2 linked regions of the Pelodiscus sinensis genome follow. The protein of the gene in region 1 interacts with the protein of each later gene in a pairwise test. Links are inferred from orthologs where the notes say so. Each region holds a gene or a part of one and is shown on either strand. Other genes may lie near its edges.

The links.
Region 2: the proteins of KATNAL1 (region 1) and KLC4 interact in binary tests that used the Homo sapiens proteins (3 or more experiments, as listed by UniProt). The two-hybrid records come from large-scale screens. The link is inferred for Pelodiscus sinensis from reciprocal best matches to the Homo sapiens genes KATNAL1 and KLC4.

The regions. Positions count from the first base shown.
Region 1 is NC_134711.1:298,586,784-298,594,676, forward strand, and holds the start of KATNAL1 (katanin p60 ATPase-containing subunit A-like 1), read left to right. Parts: upstream 1-4,888; 5' UTR 4,889-5,161; intron 5,162-5,261; exon of another isoform or gene 5,262-5,408; intron 5,409-7,893. UniProt on the Homo sapiens protein: Regulates microtubule dynamics in Sertoli cells, a process that is essential for spermiogenesis and male fertility. Severs microtubules in an ATP-dependent manner, promoting rapid reorganization of cellular microtubule arrays.
Region 2 is NC_134713.1:200,179,168-200,186,043, forward strand, and holds the start of KLC4 (kinesin light chain 4), read left to right. Parts: upstream 1-3,872; 5' UTR 3,873-4,029; intron 4,030-6,876.

The DNA of each region.
Region 1 (7,893 bases):
GGAAAAGACAGAGTTGGTATGCTGCTGCAATCTCCCTCCCCCATGTTCTGGCTGTTCTGGGGGAAATCTGGGGCTGATTCTCCCCCAGGAGAGAGACTGGGGGGGGTGAGGCAGCTACCAGCTCCTCCCACAGTTTACACTCCCCTCTCCCACACAGAAATTCCTGCATATGGGCCTGCCCCCAGACTGCCTCCCTGAACACACCCAAGGGACTGAGGCACACTTCTGGACTCAATCAAAATTCCAAATCAAAGAACCATCCCGAGATGAGGAAAGGGCACACTGAGTGGGCCCTGACAAGGGCAACAGTGCCCTGCCAAAGGAGCACACCTGGAATCAGCAACACTGCTTTTCTCTGTAAATCATTTTGTGAGATTTCAGATGAAGGATGCTGTGCAAAATTATTTGTACTGTAACTATTCAGTAGAGCTAACTACCTTTTTTCTCTCTCTTTATAGAGGTAAAACCATTCTGAGGTCTCAGGAAAGGGGTGTTTTTATATACATGTTCTCTCTCTCTCTCTCTCTCTCTCTTATGTGATACTTATCTATGAAAAAAGTGTTCTATTAATATTTTAAGCACAATCCTGTAAAGACTGTCTTTTTTTCAGTGGATGGATTTATAAGGTTATCTTACATAGTCTTGTAGCATAGTGCAGAGTGTATAAAAATATGGCTGTATTTTTATATTTACTGCTTGGAGAACCATGGTGGCTGATTTATTCAAGCATCACTTCCAAGAAATGAGTATGTTCAGAATCTCAATGAAACTTCAAATAGGAAAGACACTTTTCACCATAAATATTAACCAATAACTGTGTCTAAAATGGTCCTTTTTCCTGGGGATATTTAGAAATCCAGTTTACATTACAGCTCTGTGTCACACTGTATGTACATGTAATCTGTTGTCAAAACACACATTACAAATTCATTTTTTAAATACCAGTTGGGGATAAATTGTCTCTTGAGAGTTATCCCTGAATACAAGACTACAATCTCTGCTATATACTCTAGGGCTACGTGTATACATCAGTGTTATTTCAAAATAACTGATGTTATTCCAAAATAACATAATCCACATCTACACACAAGCAGTTATTTCAATATGACTGCTTACTCAGGGTACATCTACACTGCAGGGGTTTTCTGAGTATCCTGGAAAAACTCCACCGCGTCCAAGGAACGCGTTTGCTCTTCCACTTTTTTTTGTGGCACACCAAACACACTCTTTTGGGGAGCCCTATATTCCTCGTTCTACGAGGGATAAGGGCTCTGCCAAAAGAGGAGGCTTTTCTGCCATTTGGTCCTGTCTAGATTGGGCCAAATGGCAGAAAAGCCTCTTCTGGAGAAGCGATCAGAAAAAGCTATGCAAATTGCGGAGCGCAATTTGTAGTAACTTTTTCCAACTCCCCCCCCATAGTGTAGACCTAGCCTCAGACTCCTGTAACCCTCATTGTACAAGGAGTAAGGGAAGTCAGGGGAAGAGTGCTCTATCTCAAAATAACTGCTGCGTAGACAGCGCCAAAACTCTAAATAAGCTATTTCAACTTAAGCTACGCAATTGGCATAGCTCAAGTTGCAGAGCTTATTTCAAGTTTAGCCCTGCTGTGTGGACATGCCCTAGATGCAATTACACATGCTGCAGATGACATCCATGGGATAAATTCTTAGGCTATGTTATGTAATATCAATAGTAATAGAGATGTAGCCGTGTTAGTCTGGTCTTGCTGAAACAAAAGACAGGACTATGCTTAAAAGTGCTGCATAGTCCTGTCTTTATGTAATATCATATATTGATAATATAGGATGAATTATACTTGGATGACTTAGTTGATGAAGAATATAATACATATAGCGTATGTCATGGCCAATAAAGCTACACACAATGCTGAGGATAGTTTATTCAACTTTTTATATGCTCAACACCTCTATGAGTGTCATTGGACTTCAGGATGTCCCTGTGGGTTGGATTTTACATTTAGATCTCTAACAGCAGAAAGAGTGTAGAATTGCTGGTACAAGGGACCTGACTTCCTAATTTTAGCCTTTTGATCTTGAACTGCCTTTCCAGCTCTCTTTCCTGGTCTGTTGCTTTCTCTGCTTCCCATTTTTGCCACTCTAACTCCAGTGATCTCGGTGGGTCTCTTTTTGCATTGTCCATTTCTCTTTGGCTGCCCATGGCTGGTATTTACTAGAAGCTGGGAACAGGAGATGGGATCAATCACTTGATGATTACCTGTTCTGTTCATTCCCTTTGAAGCATATAGCATTAGCTGCTGTTGAAGCCAGGATACTGAGCCAGATGGACCTTTGATCTGACCCAGTATAAGTGTTATTATATTAAATCACATTCCTTCTCCACGTTTGCCATCTCCAACATCGCCAAATCCAACTTCATGGCTGTTTCATTGAGAGCTGTATTTGCACATACCTTGCACATACCTTATCTTTTTTCCTCCAGTGAAAATCTCAATTACTTTGGTATTTATTTCTTGAACTATGTGCTGCTGCTCAAAGTACTGCCTCTTGGAATATGATTCTTGCTTGGTCACAGAATACTATTGTCTGTTCTATTGCCCTTACTGAAATAAACAAACAAAAACCAACAATCTATACCCTTTTTTGGTTGTTTCTAGCCATCTCACTTGTGAATCTCTTAGTATCCACAAGCTAATCTACACTAGATAATTAGATTGATCCAGCTATGTCATTTGGGGTGTGAAAAATCCACATTCCTGTGAGAGATAGTAAAGCCAACCTAAGTCCCCAGGTAGACAGTAGTAGCTTGATTGAAAAATTCTTCCACTGACCTAGCCTTTAAATTGGAGCTTTCTTCCTCCTGCAGTCCTACTTTCCTAGTCAGGTTTCACTCCCCAGAACAAGGCAAGCAGTCCCAGTACTCCCAGGCCCCAGCCACACCAAGTCCTGGCCACAAGCTGGCAGTTCCAGAAAGGAGCAGCATGCTTGGATTGGGTCCAAGGAGAAAGTGGCAAACAGAAGGGAGTTTCTGGTGGGGTGTGGACAGAGCCACACAGTACTGTTTGGGGAGCCTCCCACAGCCTACAAATACACACCACCCACAGCTGAAAAGGTAGATCTCATGGAGGTCACTGAATCCATAACATAATCTTAGCCTTACTTATTAGAGACTGGATGTGTGAAGGCATTGCTAATGAGATATAGAGCCTTTCCTGTATGTGTCACAAATTTGTTTCTAGCCCAGCTCAGCAGGGCTGGAATTATTTTAATCATTCCCATCTGTTGGAAGTTTGGTGGGTGAGTGCCAGCTTCCACATCACAGTTTCACAAACAGCGTATGGGTATGTGGGAGGACAGGGGACAGATGCAATGTGAGGGGTAGGCACTATGTGAGAGGACAAGGGACAGGAGTATTATGGGGAGGGATGCAGGCAGCATGTGGGTGTTGGGACTTGGGGGGAAGCAGGCAGTGTGTGAGTGTTGGGACTTGGGGGGCAGGCAGTGTTGGGATTTGGGAGGCAGGCAGTGTGTAGGTGTTGGGATTTGGGGGCAGGCAGCATGTGGGTGTTGGGACTTTGGGGGCAGGCAGCATTAGGTGTTGGGATTTGGGGGGCAGGCAGTGTGTAGGTGTTGGGATATGGGGGGAAGCAGCATATGGGTGTTGGGACTGGGGGGGCAGGCAGAGTTGGGTGTTGGGGCTTGCGGGGCAGGCAGTATGTAGGTGTTGAAGGTTTGGGGGGGAGGCAGCATGTGGCTGTTAGGACTTGTGGGACTAGGCAGCATTAGGTGTTAGAATTTGGGGGGGGGGACAGGCAGCATATTGGTGTGGGGACTTGGGGGGGGACAGGCAGTGTGTGGGTGCTGGGATTTGGGGGGCAGGCAGCGTATTGGTGTTGGGACTGGGGGGGCCAGATGGCATGTGGGTGTTGGGACTGGGGGGCAGGCAGTGTGTGGGTGTTGGGACTGGGGGGACCAGGCAGTGTGTGGGTGCTGCGGTTGGGGGGGGGCAGGTGGCATGTGGGTGCTGGGGTTGGGGGGCAGGCAGTGTGTGGGTGTTGGGACTGGGAGGGCCAGGCAGCGTGTGGGTGCTGTGGTTGGGGGGGCAGGTGGTGTGTGGGTGCTGGGGTTGAGGGGCAGGCAGCGTGTGGGTGCTGGGACTGGGGTGCAGGCGGTGTATTGGTGTTGGGACTGGGGGGCAGGCGGCGTGTGGGTGCTGGGACTGGGGGGTAGGCGGCGTGGGGGTGCTGGGACTGGGGGGCAGGCAGCGTGGGGGTGCTCGGGTTGGGGGCCAGGCGGCAAGTGGGTGTTGGGGTTGGGAGGCAGGCGGCGTGTGGCGGCTGGGGGGCAGGCGGCGTGTGGGTGCTGGGGCTCGGGGGCAGGTGGCGTGCAGGTGTTGGGACTGGGGGGGCAGGCTGTGTGTGGGTGCTGGGGGGCACGCGGCATCTGGGTGCTGGGGCTGGGGGGCAGGTGGCGTGTGGGGGCTGAGGAGCAGGCGGCGTGTGGGGGCTGGGACTAGGGAGCAGGCGGCGTGTGGGGGCTGGGACTGGGGGGCAGGCGGCGTGTGGGTGTTGGGACTGGGGGGGCAAGCGGCGTGTGGGTGCTAGGACTGGGGGGCAGGCGGCGTGGGGGCTGAGGAGCAGGCGGTGTGTCGGGCTGGGGTTGGGGGGGCAGGCGGCGTGTGCGGGCTGGGCGGGGGGGGGGCAGGCGGCGTGTGCGGGCTGGGCGGGGGGGGGCAGGCGGCGTGTGGCTGGGCGGGAGGGTGGCGCACAGATGGGCCGCAGGGAGGACCAGGGCAGGGAGTGTCTGATCAGACGGGCCCAAATGACCATTTCAGCCTCTGGCTCCTGGCTGGGCGGGGGGGGGGCAGCGGGCAACTCCCCCTGCTCCGGGGTCGTGGGGGGCGGGGCTGTCTGTGGGGCTGGGTCGCAGCGGGTGGAGGTGGGGCCGGCGGGCGGGTCGCTCTGCCCCCGGGCGCGGCGGGAAAGGGGCCTGGGCTCCCCCCGGGAGAGGCCGCGCCGCCCCCAGCCTCTCGCTGGGCGGGGCAGGAGGGCGGAGCGGTGGGATACCCGGGCACCACGGCCGGGCGTCGCCCTTCGCCTCCATGGCAACGAGCCGCCGGCGCGCGCACGCCACGGGCTAACGGAGTTGCTCGCGGACACGCAGCAAGGGCAGCGCTCCAACAGGTAAGGGCAGGGCCTGACTACGCGGCGCCCATCGCGGCTGCTGGGGCGGGGACGCGACACAAACCCCGACAGGGACCGCGGCGCGAGAGGCGCTGGCCATTGAACGTTCTGTGGCCGGAGAGAGCTGCGGAGCCTCTGCCGCGAAGCAGGATGGGCGATGTAGTTCTTGGGCTCACGCCCGCGGTGACGGCCGGCCGCGGCGCGGGCGGGCGCGGACTACAGATCCCAGCGCGCGGCCTGTGGCCGGGTAGGGGGCGCAGCTTGGCTTCGCCCCGGTATCTGACCCTGTGGGGGAGGGGTCGGGGGGGGACCCGCTGGGGACCCGGAGGTGGGCGCGACACCGGGGGCTGCAGCAGCGCAGGCTGGGCCTGTGTAACGGCGCCGAAGCTGCGGCCCGCGGTCTGTCGGGGGCTTGTGGCGCCTCCGCCCTGGGGGTGTCTGGGGGGGGGGGGAGGATGCAGAGCTGGGTGTGTAACGGGAGGGGCTGAGCGCAGCGCCAGGGGACGTGGGCGAGGAGGCAGCGAGGGCGCTGGGCTGTCAGTCCCCCAACACGTTAAGTCCCGTGAGCTGTGCAGCGCCTCTGGGGAAGCCCCTCTCGCTGGCTGAGCCCCTTGGACCAGCTGCTCTGTCCAGGCACACGCCTGGTTTTGCTTTTTCCATAGTTCCCTTTGGCTTTGAAATGCCCAGCGCTTCCCTCCTGAGCAGGCAGCCTCCTCTCCCCGGGTTGCACATTAAGGCTTTGTCTACACTCCCACGTAACTATCCAGTCTTTAGGTGCTTATAGATTATCAGTTTTGCCTGTTACATACAGCTCCGCTTTCCCTTTGATATTTATATACCCATTTCCCCCCCCTCTATTTATTTTTGGTTCTGGACATCTAACACTCCAGTCATCTGAAGAAGTGGACTGTGCCTACCAAAGCTCATGATACCATTTACATGTTTTGTTAGTCTTTAAAGTGCTACCAGACTATTTGTTGTTTTTTAAGTTTATCCCATACAGACTAACTTGGCTACCCCTCTGAAGCTTGCAAATCTTTTGTTGGTCAGGGGTGTGGAATCCCCCTGACCCCCCCCCCCAAACAATCCAGACAGACATAGGCAAGTTTCACTGACAAAAGTGTAGACCAGTGGTTCCCAACCTTTTGGGGTTGCTGGGTGCCCGGGGGAGGGGCCACTCGCGCTGGGCACCCGAGGGCGGAGCCGCACACGCACCTGGGGGCGGGGCTGCGGCTGCGCACGCTCCCAGGGGCGGGGCCTCCCATATGCTGCATGCCCAGTGCCGGTGCCACCCATGCGCTGCACTCCTGGGGCCGGCGCCGCTCCTGTGCCTCACGCCCAGGAGCTGGCATCACCCAAGCGCTGCGCGCCTGGGGCCGGCGCCGCCACTGCGCTGCGTGCCATGGGGCGGGGACGCCCATATGCTGAATGCCCAGTGCCGGTGCCACCCATGCGCCTCACTCCTGTGGCCAGCGCCGCTCCTGGGCTGCACGCCCTGGAGCCAGCAACGCCCATGCACTGTACGCCTGGGGCCGGCGCCACTCCTGTGCTATATGCCCGGGGGCAGGGATGCTCATACGCCACGCGCCCGGGGCCCGTTCAGCCCATGTACTACGCTCCCGGCGGCGGGGCCACCCATGTGCCACGTACCCCGGGGCCGGCACCGCCCATGCGCCATTCAGCCAGGGTTGGGCCACCCATACGCTGCGCGCCCAGGGGCTGGCACTGCCCATGCACCACATGCCCGGGGGCAGGGCTGGCCCCGATCACTCGGTGGGCACACAGAAATGGCCTGGCGGGTGCCATGGCGCCCGTGGGCACCATGTTGGGGACCACTGGTGTAGACTGTGTGGCCAGTGGTATGTTGGCAGGAGAGCTCTCTTCCACCAGGATAGGGCAGTGGTTCTGCTGTGTCACTGTAAGGCAGTGGTCTCTAACCTTTTTAAGCACAAGATTACTTTTTGAATTTAAGTGCAATCCAAGATCTACCTCTCATATAAATATCCTTCCCCACTTCCTTCCTACCCTTTCTCCAAGGCCCCACCCCTGCTCACTCCATCCTCCCTTTCTTGCCCATCCTCACTCACTTTCATCAGGCTGGGGCAGAGACCTTCACCGCATCCTCTGGTAAGGAGTTCCACAGGTTGACTATGAGCTGAGTGAAGAAAAACTTCCTTTGGTTTATTTAAACCCTGCTGTATATATCATAGGGTATGTCTAGACTACATGCCTCTCTTGCCAGAAGCATGTAAATTAGACTACCTGACATAGTCAATGAAGCCAGGATTTAAATAGCCTGGCTTCATTAAAATAAAAATGGCTGCCGTGTTGTGCTGGCTCAGCTGATCGTCGGCATAGCGTGTGAGTCAAGACGCGGATCGGTCGACAAGGGAAGCCTTTGTCGACCGCTCCTGTAAACCTCGTTTTTTTAATAGAGAAATAAAGCAGGTCACACTAAAACCAATGAAAATAATTGACTTATTTATTGAAGACATTGTAGGAGACGTGAGATTTTTAAGTGCAACTTAAATGAGAGGGTAGTATTAGGGATGGTTTTGAAGGCATGATGGACAGCATGAATAAATTAGGCAGAAAAGTGTATGAAAAGGAGTAAAGGCTAGTATCTTTTTTCAGCTATGCTATTCTTGCTAGTTAATGTTTTATTGAAAGCAAGTGAAATGTTAGGATTCATGCAACTTGATGTTTATATTAGGGATGTAAACAGAGGTAAA
Region 2 (6,876 bases), on another chromosome or scaffold:
AGAGGAGACTGCAAAACCACTGACTGGGGGGTAACCTGTCAGGTAAATCAACTGCACCCGCTGGCTTGACGACAGCTGATGTAATGTCAGTTTTGAAAAGGGGCTCCCGAGGCGACCCTGGCAACTACAGCCTTCAGCACCAGACCAACTGGTGAAACTAGGGATGTTAGAGATTAACTGGCTAACCGAGAAGCTGATGCTTATCGGATAATGTTATCAGTTAAACGCTGGGGAGCCGTCTGCCGCCCCGGCACGTGCCAGGTCCCAGCAGTGGCTGCTGCCCCGCTCCCAGAAGACTCGCAGCAGACTCTGCACTATGAAGCTCATTTACTCTGTATACTGCAACGTGTGGAACCACTAAGATTTTTGACCAACTTTTGACGTCCCTAGTTGAAACTGGTAAAGAACAGAATGATCAGACATGTAGAGGTAGACGCTATGGTGGGGAAGAGACCGCAAGGGAATTACAATTCTTAGAGGGAGGTCAACAAACATGGACAAGGACAATCTGACCCAGTATGGCTGCTCTTCTGTTCATGGAGCTATTTCAGCTGTGAAAGTAGAAAGATGAATTATACTGTAATAATAGATTAAGTTCAAGGAATACTGTTTGTCCCTTTACAGGAAAGAGAAGATTATGTTAATGTTGTTTGTAGGAATGCAGGATGGATCAGAGGGAAACCAAGTGTGTCTGGGATAACAGGAAAAGGAACATTAGGTGTTAGGCAGAAAGTAATTGAGATAACCACGGAGATATGGACAGGAGATTGCTGAGGCTTGATATGGAAATGAAGATACTTGATTAGTCTCATGCTAATCATGTGAGTTTTGCCTCCTTTTTGGATCATGTTAATTTTGCTTTCTTTTGTCTGTATAAATCGAGGGGTTTGAGTCTTGTACGGCACTCACATTTTCTGGGTGTATTAGCAGAGCAGCTTGGCTAATAAACAGAGCGGTCTGACACATTTGTGAGTCCTGTGTCTGACTTTGACACAACCCACAGAACTATTGCAGAACTGCTGCACAGCAAGGGGGTGATCGATTCACCTCTTACCGTAAGAGTTACCTGAGCTAATGCTCTGAACCTGTCTATAGGCCAGGGGTGGGGAATATATGGCCCGCAGGCTGGATCCAGCCTGCCAAACATTTCCCCCCAGCCTGCCATAACCCTTTGGGCCAGGGCCACAGGAGTGTCCTGTAGCCACCAGGGCTCTCAGGTACACTGTGTGTTCACAGCGGCCCTGGCTATGCTCCTTTTGGAAACACCACAACCAGCTGCTGGGACAAGCATGTCTCTGCATGCCGCCTGGGGGATGGAGCACCCTCCCCCGCACCTTCCTCAGGGCTCCCATTGGCTGGAAACCAAGCAATGGGAGATGTGGGGGAATGCTTGTGGGCACAGGCAGCGTGTGGAGACCCACTGCTTCCCTGCCCCAAGAAGCGTGCAGAGCCGTGGTGAAAGCATAATATTTCTTATAGGTAATGTCCTCTTGCAACTTGGGTCCCTGCCAGCTCCGTTGGTTTTTGCCGCAGCTCAGACAGAGCTGCGCACCAGGGCGCACCCTCTTACTGTCACCTCTGGTGCAGAGGCGCCTTTGCCCAAGCAGTACAGCAGCCCGCAGTTTGAAGAGACATGGGGCCACCATGACATGCAAGAAGCCTTCCTGCCTGAATGCCCCACTGCACTGCCAGACTGGAGCCGCCAGGGCCAGAATCTGCACTTGGCACCCTCTTCCACAAACCAACCCCCTGCTCCAGACCACAACCCCCACCTGCACCCAGACTCCTTCCCAGATGTGCACCCCTCTGACTCCTGCTCCAGGTCAGAACCCCCTCCTGCACCCAAACTCCCTCCCAGATGTGCACCCCTCTGACTCCTGCTCCAGGTCAGAACCCCCTCCTGCACCCAAATTCTCTCCCAGTCCCCCCCCCCCCCCAAGAATAGCTGCTGTCGTCTGAGGAGGAAATGCTGTACTTTTCATACAGAATAAACTGCTTGACTCCCTTCGTTAAGTGCACATTGGGAGTCAAACTTGACCTTGGAGTGACACCCTCTCTAATTTCCCTAACTGGTATTTGTCCTGCTATTGGGACAGATAGTCTTGTTTATCTGGGTCTTGTTATTGTCGGGTATTGTTGACTTGGGCTGCGTGTCAGTTTGCTATTGTGGAGGCCAGCCGTGGAATGGGCATAACTGTGCTGGAGTCTGAGTCAGGTGTTGCTCCTGAGGGGAGTGTAGGTGGAACCAAGCCAAGGGGAACTGGTTTACATTACCAGAACACAGAATGAGCTTGCTTGGTGAGTAGAATTTGGCTGGGTATGTCTGGCAAGGTTGAGTAGGGCCAGGTTTTCTTAGTACTGAGTGTGGTTGGTAAGGGAAATTGGGCAGGTTGCCTGAGCACCAGAAGGGACCATTATGATCCTCTCATCTGACCTCCTGAACGTGGACTGGAGAATCCCACAGTGGCTATGTCTAGACTGGCATGATTTTCCAGAAATGCTTCTAACGGAAAAGATTTCTGTTAAAAGCATTTTCGGAAAAGCGCGTCTAGATTGGCACGGACACTTTTCTGCAAAAGCACTTTTTGCAGAAAAGCATCCGTGGCCAATCTAGACGCACTTTTCCGCAAAAAAGCCCCGATCGCCATTTTCGCGATCAGGGCTTTTTTGCAGAAAACAAATCTCAGCTGTCTACACTGGCCCTTTTGCGCAAAAGGGACTTTTGCCCGAACGGGAGCAGCATAGTATTTCCGCAAAAAGCACTGATTTCTTACAGTAGGAAGTCAGTGCTTTTGTGGAAATTTAAGCGGCCAGTGTAGACAGCTGGCAAGCTTTTCCGGAAAAGCGGCTAATTTTCCGGAAAAACTGGCCAGTCTAGACACAGCCAACAATTCCAGGATCAAGCCTGTCGTTTCTGGCTGGGCTATAGCCATTTAGAAAGAGATCCAGGTTTTATTTACAGACTCCAAGTCACAAAGAAACCTCCATAGTCCTAGGTAAGCTGTTCAATGGTTAGTCATTCTCACAGTCTAAAACGTACATCTTATTTCTAGTCTGAATCAGGAGCGGCTCGTGGAGAGCTGACGGCATCTGGAGCCCTAGGCGGAATGTGCGATGGGCGCCCCCGCCTCCATAGCCCTCAATGGCGTGACGTCATCATTGGAACTGGGCCCCCCCGGTCTGAATGATAAGAAATCTCTTAGCCATGTAGGTACTCATAGACTGGGAACAATCCTCTTTTGAATGAACTACATAGATTGCATTTCCTTAGTCTCTCTTTGGAAGGCAAGTTTTCCAGACTTCATCTTATTCGCTCCTTTTCAGAACTTCTCCGGTCTGTCAACAGCATTCGTTTTGGCGCGCGGATGCCAGACCCCTACGGTAATTGGGCCCGCCAGTGCTGAGCATGGACGTCGTGCCACCTCTTCACTTGCTGGCCCTTGCTTATGCATCCCAGGGGGCACTCCCTTAGGCACTCCCTTATTGCACTCCCTTAGCCACAGAGTGAAATGGGGTTTTCAAATAGCCAGCGGGGCTTTGCAAGCGTGTTCGACCAGATGCATTTCCCGCGGCCAGGGGCCGGGCCCAGGGGTGCTGCTGGCTGGGGGGAGGGGTGCCCAGCACAGGCAGGTTGGCCTGACACGGCCCCTGGGGGCGGGCTGCCCAGCTGGCCCTGGCCTGGCTCCCAGCGCTGCAAGCCAGGGGCGCGCGCCACCCGCCCGCAAGGGAGCGGCTCTGCACCACGCCGCGCGCGCGCGCGCCCGGACCCAGAGCCAACAGCGCAGCCGGCGCGCGCCTCCAACGGACAAGCCCAGCCCCTCACGCGCCCGAAGGCCTGTCAGCGCGGGCGCGGGGCGGGGGCGGTTTGCTGAGTCACGTGCCCCACTGCTCAGCCTGCGCCTCCCCGCGCGGGGCATTGTGGGAAGCGGCTGCCGGGCTGAGGCAGCCGAAGCTGGATTTAAAGGGGCCGGGGCCGGCCGCGCTGAGGGGACGGGGGGTGCCCGCGCCAGCGGCCCCGCCGCCTGAGGGGTGAGTGAGGCGCCCGCCTGTCTGGCGGGGGGGGCAGCAGCGCTGAGTGTGGGGCGCCTGGCCCGGGCACAGCTGGGGGGGCAGCGCGCGGGGGGGGGGCGGTAATGGGCGCGGGGGGGGGGCAGCGCGCGGGGGGGGGGGGGCGGTAATGGGCGCGGGGGGGGGGCAGCGCGCGGGGGGGGCGGGTAATTGCGCGGGGGGGGCAGCGCGCAGGGGGCGGTAATTGCGCGGGGGGGGCAGCGCGCAGGGGGGCGGTAATTGCGCGGGGGGGCAGCGCGCAGGGGGCGGTAATTGCGCGGGGGGGGCAGCGCGCAGGGGGGGGCGGTAATGTGCGCGGGGGGGGGCAGCGCAGGGGGCGGTAATTGCGCGGGGGGGCAGCGCGCAGGGGGGGCGGTAATGGGCGCGGGGGGGGGCAGCGCGCAGGGGGGGCGGTAATGGGCGCGGGGGGGGCAGCGCGCAGGGGGGGCGGTAATGTGCGCGGGGGGGGCAGCGCGCAGGGGGGGCGGTAATGTGCGCGGGGGGGGGCAGCGCGCGGGGGGGGGCGGTAATGGGCGCGGGGGGGGGCGGTAATGGGCGCGGGGGGGGCAGCGCGCGGGGGGGGCGGTAATTGCGCGGGGGGGGCAGCGCGCAGGGGGGGGGCGCCTCCCCCTGGGCCCCCGTCCCAGTGCTAATTGCTGAGCGGGGTCCCCTCGCCGCCCCTGCAGTCACCGGGGGGGGGGGGGGGGGTGAGGGAATCTCCCCTTGGGGCCCCGGCTTGCCCGGTGAGGGGGGGGTGCCTGTGGGCAGTGCCCCCCCGTAGCCGTGGCCAGCGGGTGAGGGTCGGTCGGGTGCGTGGTCCAGAGCCCGGTGCTGCCATCGCTGGGGCAGGCGCTGCTCTGGCCTTGCCACTGGCCTGTTGCCTGACCTCGGGCACGTCGCTCGCTTCGGGGCAAACGGGGCCGCGGCTGGGGCAGATGTGACCGTGAGGGGCGGCTTCCTAGCAGTCAGGGGCACCAGTGCATGAAGACCCTCGGGGAGAGGGAGCGCTACTGCCTGGCCTATTTAGAACTAGGCTGGACCCAGCTCTCCAGATCCTGGGGATGGATGAGAGGGGACCACTCCGGTCTCTTCCATACCCAGCACCTCAAAGTTTGACCTGAGCAGAATGAGTGTTGTAGGGAGAAATCTGTCCAGTTAAGGACAAAGTCCAACTTCAGTAACCAGATGTCTGCTTGCCCTTGGTATGTGGCAGAACCATGTTAGTCAGTGGCTTGTGATGACGCATCCAGGGCTACCTGCTCTAAAGCACAGGGTCTTTCTGCACAGCCTACTTCAGGGAGCACTTGGCTAGTGCTGTGCTATGATGGCAAAGCGGGTCTGGCAAAGGCAGGAGGTAATCAAGCCCTTCACTTGTCCTGCTTTTTGTGTGGCTTATCAGGGGCCTTAATTATCAGGGACGGCAGAGCTGGGTATGAAAATCCATGATGAGTGTTCACGTCTGGGTAGGAGGCAAAGTCCGGAATTCAAGCTGGAGCAGAGCGTTCCGCTGCTGTTGGAGTGTGGTGACCTGCACTCTCTCTCACTGTATGTAGTCTTATTTGTCAAACTAACAATAATAATAGCAGAAAATGTACATCAGTTGGTCTTCCTTGTTTGATTGAAGAGCACTTCTAGTCTGCATACTACAAGTGCTCCTTCCATTGTCGGGAAGGTAATCATCATTGTTCCCTTACCCTAGATTCTTCTGGGGAAAGAATTAGGGTACAGAGTCTGTACAGAGACTTAGTTGATTGGAATGCAGCGTGGTCCCAACACAGTGGAACAATCAACATACAGTACTCAACTCTGACAGTCCGTCAAATCTAACTTGTGTGCCGAGAGCCCCAATATTAACCCCACCTCCAGGGTCCTGCATGGCAATGCCTTAGCTAGAAGCCAGCCATGGATAGCTTTCAGGGAGTGCAATTTTTGTCCTCGCCATGCTTAATGAATATTTCCTAGTTATGTTCCCCACACTTGAGCTACTGCTCCCCCCCTTCAGTAAATGTCCTGTGCTGTCCTTCCACAGGTGCATGTCTACTGCCTGTGCTCCTGCACAGCAGTGGGATGAGGGAACATGGCCAACACTGAGGAAACTAGAGGCTGCAGGCTATGGATGGCCTGCTGAGGAGCTGCACAGAAGTAGTCAGGACTATTCTGGGCATGGGTCCATAGCTGAGGAAGCATTTTTGAGAGGGGGAGGTTAGGGAGAGAGATGCAGCTATAGGACTTAGCTGCCAGAGTAAGGTTTGCTGACTGAAAGAACTGTCCTCATTGGGTTTGTCTGCACTGGAATTGAAGTTAATTGATTGCCAGTTAACTGGAGATAGCCAGTACATACTATTGTGGACACTACAAAGTCTGCAGGAGTATGGCACAGCACTAGGCCTTGTGTGCCTGTTTGCATTTGAAGAATTAATCCTATCAATTGTGTACTGAGGTGCTTCCTTTTATAAAACTTTTGTGGATTTTTTTCTTTTTCCAATGTTGGGATGGGATGAGAGGCTGAAAATCTCCACAAACTTGTGAAGATCACACTGCAGGCTTTAGCATTTCCCAGCCCTTAGCTCTGGTGCCATGTAGCCGTAAGTCTAACCGGGATGCTCCCACTCTGTCTAGCTTCTAACACCCCACGCTGTGTGTTTTCTGATAATATGTTAACCTTGGTCATAAACACAATGTGAGATGTGCTCTTGAAACAACTGATTGCAAATGAAAATACCTGCTTTATGACCATGTTAACTCCCTTCTCTCCTTTGTGGCGAGGCACCTGCCTGCTCTGAGGAGCAGGATGTTCAGATCTGCATGCTATTCATAGAGAGAGGGTTA